3 linked regions of the Kluyveromyces lactis genome follow. The protein of the gene in region 1 interacts with the protein of each later gene in a pairwise test. Links are inferred from orthologs where the notes say so. Each region holds a gene or a part of one and is shown on either strand. Other genes may lie near its edges.

Region 1 (2,610 bases):
GTGACTTGAAAATATATGTTCCTGGGACTGCTCACCCGGACATTTTTGTTTTAGTTTTTTTTCCAATTTTTTCTGCATTGCCATTTTGGGTACTTATCTCATTGAAAATGTTCATTTATCTGAAGCATTAACCCATACACCACATGTGTTGGTGAGTAAATACTGTCTTTCAGATGATTTTTTCATTTTCACCATACCAATCGCAGCGATTCGGACGGTTTGACGAATATTGTTCTCATCATCGCTTTACAATCTGGTTCATTATGAACATAAGTGCCATTGGACATACAAGATACTTACTTTAGTTAGTTTTATTATCACCTATAATTTCGAGCTCCCCGACGAACAAATAAAGTAAAAATGGTTGCCATTATCTCCAAGAAGAGAAAGCTTGTCGCTGACGGTGTTTTCTACGCCGAATTGAACGAATTCTTCACCAGAGAATTGGCTGAAGAAGGTTACTCTGGTGTCGAAGTCAGAGTTACTCCAACCAAGACCGAAATTATCATCAGAGCTACTAAGGTTCAAGATGTTGTTGGTGAAAATGGTAGAAGAATCAACGAATTGACCTTGTTGATTGAAAAGAGATTCAAGTACAAGCGTGGTACCATTGCTTTATACGCTGAAAGAGTCCATGACCGTGGTTTGTCCGCTGTTGCTCAAGCTGAATCCATGAAGTTCAAATTGTTGAACGGTTTGGCCATCAGAAGAGCTGCTTACGGTGTTGTCAGATACGTTATGGAATCTGGTGCCAAGGGTTGTGAAGTTGTCATCTCCGGTAAGTTGAGAGCTGCTAGAGCCAAGTCCATGAAGTTCGCTGACGGTTTCTTGATCCACTCCGGTCAACCAGTCAACGACTTCATTGAAACCGCTACCAGACACGTTTTGTTGAGACAAGGTGTTTTGGGTATTAAGGTTAAGATCATGAAGGACCCATCTAGAAACACCTCTGGTCCAAAGGCTTTGCCAGATGCTGTTACCATCATCGAACCAAAGGAAGAAGAACCAGTTTTGGAACCTTCTGTCAAGGATTACAGACCAACTGAACCAGTTGAAGCTGCTGAATCTGCTTAAATCAATTGATATCTGTTTGATTCTATATTATTAATTAGTCTATTAAATACCGTTCTTATATGTATAAATATTAAGAAACTCATCAATTCTTTTAAAAATAAGTAATCTATGCCCAGATGACATCGATTAAAACGTCCTGCTTTTATCAATGGATTTTTAAAATGATTTATCGATAGCGCCTTCCGATAATGCCTTTCCGCCTTTCAGTTCCTTTATCTTTCATACTAATCAAAAAAATTCGGTGGGCAAAAATCATGTAAATTATTAAAAAAAAAGAGAATATATAGTGCGTACTGAAAAAACCAATGGCTCAATTATAGATGAATTGTTAACCATTTAATACCACACGTAGGGTCTATACGTTCCATTTTTAAGAGAACGTAGGTATCGCTCACTAAACACATTGACTGAAAGTAAATATGGGCCTAACTTATAAGGATTTTTGTGCTGTAGGTACAGCATTGATCATTGGATCAACTACTTTTTTGATGGGGATCTTCTTTTCTAATCAACCATATGACTATAATATCCTATTCAATCCTGCTGCCACGCCGGAGCATTTTGAGAACGCTTTGAAACACTACCAGACTCTATTCTACACGGCCAAGCCAACCCTTTATATGCTTGGTGCGGTGGCCATTGTGGGAGTCATTGGTTCCTTGATTAGGGTATACAAGCCAAATCCAGATTTGCAATTATTTGAATACGGTTCATTGGCTTTGTACGTTTTGGGTATCTGTGTTTTCTTAACAAATATCAAGACCGGTGTTGAATCTGCGGTTTACCATAACTGGGGTGAAGTCTCTGAGGCGCAAGGTATTGCTGTTGTTGCCTCTTCCAATATCATTATTTTAATTGTCTTTGCTGGTGTCTTAGTGTTGCAAGGAGGTTTGTGGTACAGTACCTGGGAATATGAACAAAGATTAGATCAATGGAGGAAAGACCAATTGAAGGAATCTGCCGCTAACCAACAGAAGGCGGAGAAAACTACTGAACCAGCTAAAACGGAATCTAAGAAGAAGAAATAGACGAAATTTGTTTCCTTACAGTTTGATGCGGTGAAGTATTTCGCGTTGCTTTCACTATTTACAAGCTCTTGTTCTATATATTATATAAATGATATGAAATACTTGGCTATTCCGACATGGATAACTTGAGATGAAACCCAAAGACAATCTAAGGACCTTATTATTGATGATTTAATTGCTGTATATTATCTTCACCCATTATCATTGGAAATAAACGTAATATGATAATGTTTAATATCTCATTACCATTTGTAAACACCACCCATAGAACCTCTGATGGGTTTATCTGCTAATTGAACCCACGGTTTCTTCCTTTGTTCTTTTAGTTTGGCTTCGTGCTCTAGTCTTCTCTTCGTTACACTCTTGGTCTTCAATATGCATTTGATATGCACATATGGGTGTTCAATGAGACCACGTCTACCTCTACCCTTCCATTCGACACGTTTTTGCCAAAATCCATCACTGCCGGTCCATATCTGGGAGATGTATAGGTCATTGGCATCCAAGC
Region 2 (2,551 bases), on another chromosome or scaffold:
GCGAAGTGTTCCTGAAATATGGGTTTCTATGGAAAAAAGGAGTCAAAGGCGCAGGGAATGCTATAGGTGATTGCTGTTTTTGCTGTTGCTGTTGCTGTTGCTGTTGTTCCTGGGTCTGACCCTGACCCTTATATGGAGACGAGCTACTCGCCTTGGCGAGTTGCGTCTCCAACCCAGAGCTATGCGAACGTGTATCTTCGTTGATCATCTGTAAAATGTATGAATGTATCTTGCCTTACAACTTGTAAGTTGTAACTAGTTTTCTAAAGCAAGTAACTAACTCACTTGACAAAGGCAATCTGCGATGAAGCAGCGAACAGATTAATACGTCCAACAATAACCACTCGGTATATATACATATATATAGTAATAATAATAATAATAACTATCTCAATCAAGAAGGTAATATAAAAAGCATCACCAGGCCACCTTTAAAAAGCGAAGACCAGATCGACATCGATAAAGAAATAAGAAAAAGAGATAAAAGGAAAAGAAATAAAACACGGCAAAGAAACCGACAATGAAACACGCGGAAGAGGAAGATTTCCAGTTCCAACCATGACTCTATCCTATCAACTGGACTGGGAAAAACCAATGAACAAGGCAGAGACAGAAGTAAAATGGCTGCATAGGTGAAAGGAGTGACACATAATGGAAAAAAGTAAAAAGAGAGTAAATGTGTTCAGGAGTGAATTATGATCGAGGTGCGAGTCTGGTGTTGAAGGAAAAGAAACGGGGGGAAATATCGAAGAGACTGTGCACCGGTTTCTGGGCAAAATACCCGGAAAAACCTTTCGTTTTGGATTTTCTTTTTTTCCGGCACCAAGTTGGAACAGAGAGGTACCCAACGAAATGGCGGAGGAAGAATCAAAGAAGGACCAAAGTTCACAAAAAGAAATACGAGAGAATGTTGCTACAGGGGAAAGGAACATTCACAGACATAGCCCGATCCGGTTTGTTCCGAGGTGCGGGTAACAACTTAGCGCAGCTAACTCTTTCTTTCTCTACGCTCGGTGTATGCTGTCAAAAAAGTGTGGCTCTTCTAGTCACGTGATTACTGTTATAACGCGCCCGCTTATGTTACCCGGATATATGTATATTTGCTATATTTGTATTTTCGCCACCGTTCAACGTTATTCCGGGTAACACAATGGGTATCTCTCTCATCGTCAAAAGATTTTCTCGTCACTTCTTCCACATTCAGACTGGAATTTAAAATAAAATCTGTATACCATCTTTTCACATACGTATCTATTAAATGATGCACTACTACTTGTTGCACGTATTATCGGAACTACTCTTTTTCAACTTTATATACTTACTGATTTATGTATGCCTTTTCTAATAATTAGTTAGTTAGTTGTCCTTTGTCCACTGGAATCTGCCGTCGATAAGCAATTCATAGTTAGAAGAGAAGTGCTCTTTCTTACCAAGCCAATCCCAGCTGTAACTCTCTAACCACCACCATGAATGCTCAAATCAGTAACCTAGTCATCATGTTGATCATGATGCAAGTATCTCGTCGTTTGGATATGGAGGATCCTTCGATCGTGTTGTACATCCGTATCGCTTATGTCGCTTCTGTTGCCATCACTTGGTCCATCTACCAATACGCTAGAGCTCAAATCGTTAAGAAGAACGATTTGGCCACTTTGAAATACGTGGCTCCAGCTAACCCATTGGGTGGTCAAACCGAGAAAAAATTGGAAGTCACTACCGTTCGTGATTACGATTTACAACAGATTGATTCTGCCATTAAATCCATCTACACTGGTTTGGCTATGATGGGTTTCATGCATTTGTACATGAAATACACCAACCCATTGTTCATGCAAACCATCTCACCAATCAAGTCCGCTTTGGAACATAACGAAGTTCAAATTCATTTGTTCGGAAAACCAGCTTCTGGTGATTTGAAGAGACCTTTCAAGACTCCATCTTTGTTCGGTGGTGCCGGTGGTGCCAGTGAACCAAAGACTGACAAGAAATCTATCGAAACTGCTGAAAAGGCTGGTAACGGTGGTGTCAAAGCTGAATAATCGGGACGCGCATCGTTGCGTTTTCCAATCATGTGTTTTCTTCATCCATCTCTCACCATTCTCTTATAAATAAACACGTATATATGTATATAAATGTACATGCGTGTATGTATACAACTATTAAGATACCTCAATAGGATGTTTTATCGTAGCTTTTGTTCAGTTTCTTTCGTGTTTAAGTGTTAAATTGTACACATAGACTTCGCACTTTATTTGAAAGAAACGTGAATATTATTCTATAAAGATCAGACCCAACCCTTAACTGTTACTGATCGAGCCGACCAGATCAATATCCTCCAAGCAAAATGGATGTCAGTGATGTAAAAATATTGATCCTTGGTGCCGGTGGTCTTGGATGTGAGATTGTCAAGACATTGGCGCTGTACGGTTTGCCAGAATTACATATTGTCGATATGGATACCATCGAATTGACCAATTTGAACCGTCAATTTCTATTCAGTACCCGTGATATTGGCAAACCAAAAGCGTCTGTAGCTGCAGAAGCTATCAAT
Region 3 (3,191 bases), on another chromosome or scaffold:
CAGTATTAATCCAGACATGCTGCTAAACGGGCCGGAGAAAATACGGAGATACTTATCTTGAATACGTAGTTAGTTGTGTTCTTCGTGTTAAGTGATGTGCTCATGTTGATCGGGTAATATATTAATCATTTGCACTCTATAAGAGTAATGAAATAACTGTCTGCTCAGGGAATCCTAGTTTACAGTCTTTCGGATGCAACGCACGTGATCTCATTCATATATGGCAGTTTAAGCATTTGATTCTAAAGTCCGAAGCTGGCATTAGAATACATCTAAAACGTGTAAATTGAGTAGTGTACATGTTTAATATAGTTTACATTTCGAGTAAAGCTGTCTGAAGCTTATAGGAAGCTGAATTCTGACTTTGTGAATTCGGGATTTGATATGGTTATTATTCAAATGCATATGCAATGGAGTGTTTAGTTTATACTTCATGCAGGAGAGAAAAAAAAGAGTGTGAGATGAAATCGATAAAGGATAGAATGCAAATATGGTGAATGATGCAGATTCACTTATTTGGAATTACCCATTACGGTGTCGTCACTTTTGTTTTTAGTGGGTTCGGTAATGGTACCTGATGTTAGCTCTGGTAGGTTAGATTCGATTGATTTTCTGGAATTCAAGGACCCTAATTCCCATACAGTCGCCGAGTCTCCACTGATGTTGTCTTGTAAATTTGACCAAATATCACCATCATGCGTAGATGTACATGGGGGTTCATCGGTTTCTACTAGTTGGTAGTCCTGTTGTACTTCTTGTAGTCTTTTTCTTTGCATGTATCTGTAGTAGTTGTAATAGCATACGTCGATTAGTACAACAATCATGCCTAACCAGTTGTAAAATCCTAGCCTTTCATTGAATACCAGCATGCCTAAGAAAACGGTGAATAGTTCTTTGATGATCCCGGTGACACTTAAAGTTAATACAGGAGCCAATTGTAATATACCAAACTCACACATTGTTAATATGAAAACAAGGCAGCTAGGGAGTGTGAGAAGCGCTAATCCACGTAATAGAGCCGCGAGTTTCGAATGACCTTCCCAAGTCATCAATTCAGAATGCAGTACATCAGGAATCGGACGTTCCACTATGAATGAAGTGGAAAATAGAAGTATAGTCATTGGTAAAGCTAATTGATATAGAGTGATGACCGGGTTTTTCTTAGTAGCAGGTTTGTCAGCAGCCATCAACTCATCACCATCGTTGGGTGACAAGACAATGGTGTTCTTCTTGTGGTTGAGAATAACTTGAACGTAGACCCATCTGAACCCTCCTAGGGCACAACTTATCACCACAAGTATCACACCAAAGGTTTCCTGAATTTCACCATGAGTCTGAGAGCTATCTGAGTTTATTGGTTTTAAACCCATCATCACAACACCACAAAACATCAATGTCACTATAATGAATAGTCTCCAAGATGGTACTTCCACCTTGAATAGACAGCCAAAGAAAAGAACGAATGCAATAGTAGATGATTTGACAATTGTATAAACAGTGAATGGAACGTATTTGAAGGAAATGTTGCCTAAACCAATGTCACCAGCAGTTGCTATAGCAGTTGGGATAATGTACTTTGCATAGTACTTCCAATCACCTTTGTTCAAGTTTTCGGGGGTTAGTTGACCTTTCCACCGGAGATACAGATATGCCATACCCCATAACTGTGTTTGGTGCAAGCCTGTCACCAACAATGGGTATGGAATATGCAAACTTCTATTAGGATCGAACATCCATTTGTTGTACATGGTAAGAAGAATGGCTGCAATATACATCCCCATGATCAAAGTGAAGATCCTCACTGTGTCTCTATCCATCTTCATTGTTTTTAGCTATTTTATATTGACAAAAGTACTACGCCAGGCTTCTTCTAATTTTGTATTAATATCTCGTCTCCCTACAGTAGCAATGATTCACACAGATCTCCCAGAACTTCCATTAAACAAATCAATTGACTTCGAGGTTCTATGTTATTTCATTCTCTACATGTGGTAGGCACAAACCTAGTTACGCATCTTTTTCATGTTGAACGAAACCTATTTTCTTCTTAGATGCTTTCCTATGGATGAGGCTGGTGAAAAAAAAAAAAAAAAAAATTAATGAACCACTAACAAATGAGACTAGGACCCTATTGAGATAACTTACAGGGTTTTTATGAACCGGAAGCCGGAACGTTATATATCAAAGTAATCGTCGTACCAATTTGGCTCCCAAAATAATGTTGTTTTTGACATCTTGTGCCACCTTGTCAGAGAATATCAGAAGGATTTTCCCAAAAGATACAGAACAATCACCAGCTGAATATACCTTCAAATTAGTATGTACCAGCTGTAGAGAGGAGCACGATTCCCCTATTAGAATCAATAGGTTTGAATCTCATGACATGCCTGGAAGTAAAGGAAATGCCTCGTTCGTGATGAAATGTAAATTTTGTGGCAATGAGTGTTCAATAAACTTGACCAGGACTAAGGAAGACTTATATAATTTAGATGAAGAATCTAATTTCGAATTGATTGAACAGGGTAAAAAGGACAGAAAGAAGGTTGGCTTACGTTCTGTTCCTGTGGAAAAAGCTGTTTGGCTCGAGCTTGACTGCAGAGGATGTGAAGTAACTAAATTTGAACCTGCTGACACTATTTTTGTAGCTGAACTAGTTTCGAAGAAGGAAATGGAGTTTCAGTTTGAAGACGACGAAAACGAATGGTATGATTATGATGACGATGCTGGAGAAGAAGTGAGCGTAGTAGATATGAACTTTGAAATTGTAAAAGGCAAATAAGTAGACTTTTGTTTAGTTTACTTTTGTACTTTATTTCTTTAACATTATTTACTTGTAAAGTATACATGATATATTCATTTCAAAGTCCCACCAACTTATAACATCATCATTTATTAACAATGATAAAGTTAGAGTAGTGGTAATTTATTGGATCATTCCTCTAAGTTGACGTAATTACTTGGGAATAGACCCTTTTCACCTGATGATTCAAGTTCACCCAACCACCAATCATCATCGACAAATTGAATATTAATGATTCTTTCATTTTCTTCAAAAGTCAATTCATTATCTTCGCCGGCTTCGTAATCATATTCAGCAATAGCTGATGGTCCGGATTCTTTCTTTCCAGGTTTGGATGCTCTTGGTGCTGGAGATGGAGGAGTATTTTGAGACTTAGAAAATGCTCTTTCAT

The links. The genes of interacting proteins can lie anywhere in the genome.
Region 2: the proteins of SHR3 (region 1) and SND3 interact in binary tests that used the Saccharomyces cerevisiae proteins (3 or more experiments, as listed by UniProt). The link is inferred for Kluyveromyces lactis from reciprocal best matches to the Saccharomyces cerevisiae genes SHR3 and SND3.
Region 3: the proteins of SHR3 (region 1) and YMD8 interact in a protein complementation assay, tested with the Saccharomyces cerevisiae proteins (2 studies listed by BioGRID). The link is inferred for Kluyveromyces lactis from reciprocal best matches to the Saccharomyces cerevisiae genes SHR3 and YMD8.

The regions. Positions count from the first base shown.
Region 1 is NC_006040.1:704,089-706,698, reverse strand, and holds SHR3 (Shr3p), read left to right. Parts: upstream 1-1,493; coding exon 1,494-2,102; downstream 2,103-2,610. Other genes in the region: RPS3 (40S ribosomal protein uS3), read left to right, coding at 361-1,074; MRPL22 (mitochondrial 54S ribosomal protein uL22m), read right to left, coding at 2,345-2,610.
Region 2 is NC_006038.1:832,071-834,621, reverse strand, and holds SND3 (Snd3p), read left to right. Parts: upstream 1-1,466; coding exon 1,467-2,039; downstream 2,040-2,551. Other genes in the region: glucose-induced degradation complex subunit VID24, read right to left, coding at 1-208; NEDD8-activating protein UBA3, read left to right, coding at 2,345-2,551. UniProt on the Saccharomyces cerevisiae protein: Functions in the SND pathway, a SRP (signal recognition particle) and GET (guided entry of tail-anchored proteins) independent pathway for targeting a broad range of substrate proteins to the endoplasmic reticulum.
Region 3 is NC_006042.1:941,570-944,760, forward strand, and holds YMD8 (Ymd8p), read right to left. Parts: upstream 1,824-3,191; coding exon 513-1,823; downstream 1-512. Other genes in the region: KLLA0_F10153g (uncharacterized protein), read left to right, coding at 2,219-2,779; ABP1 (Abp1p), read right to left, coding at 2,932-3,191.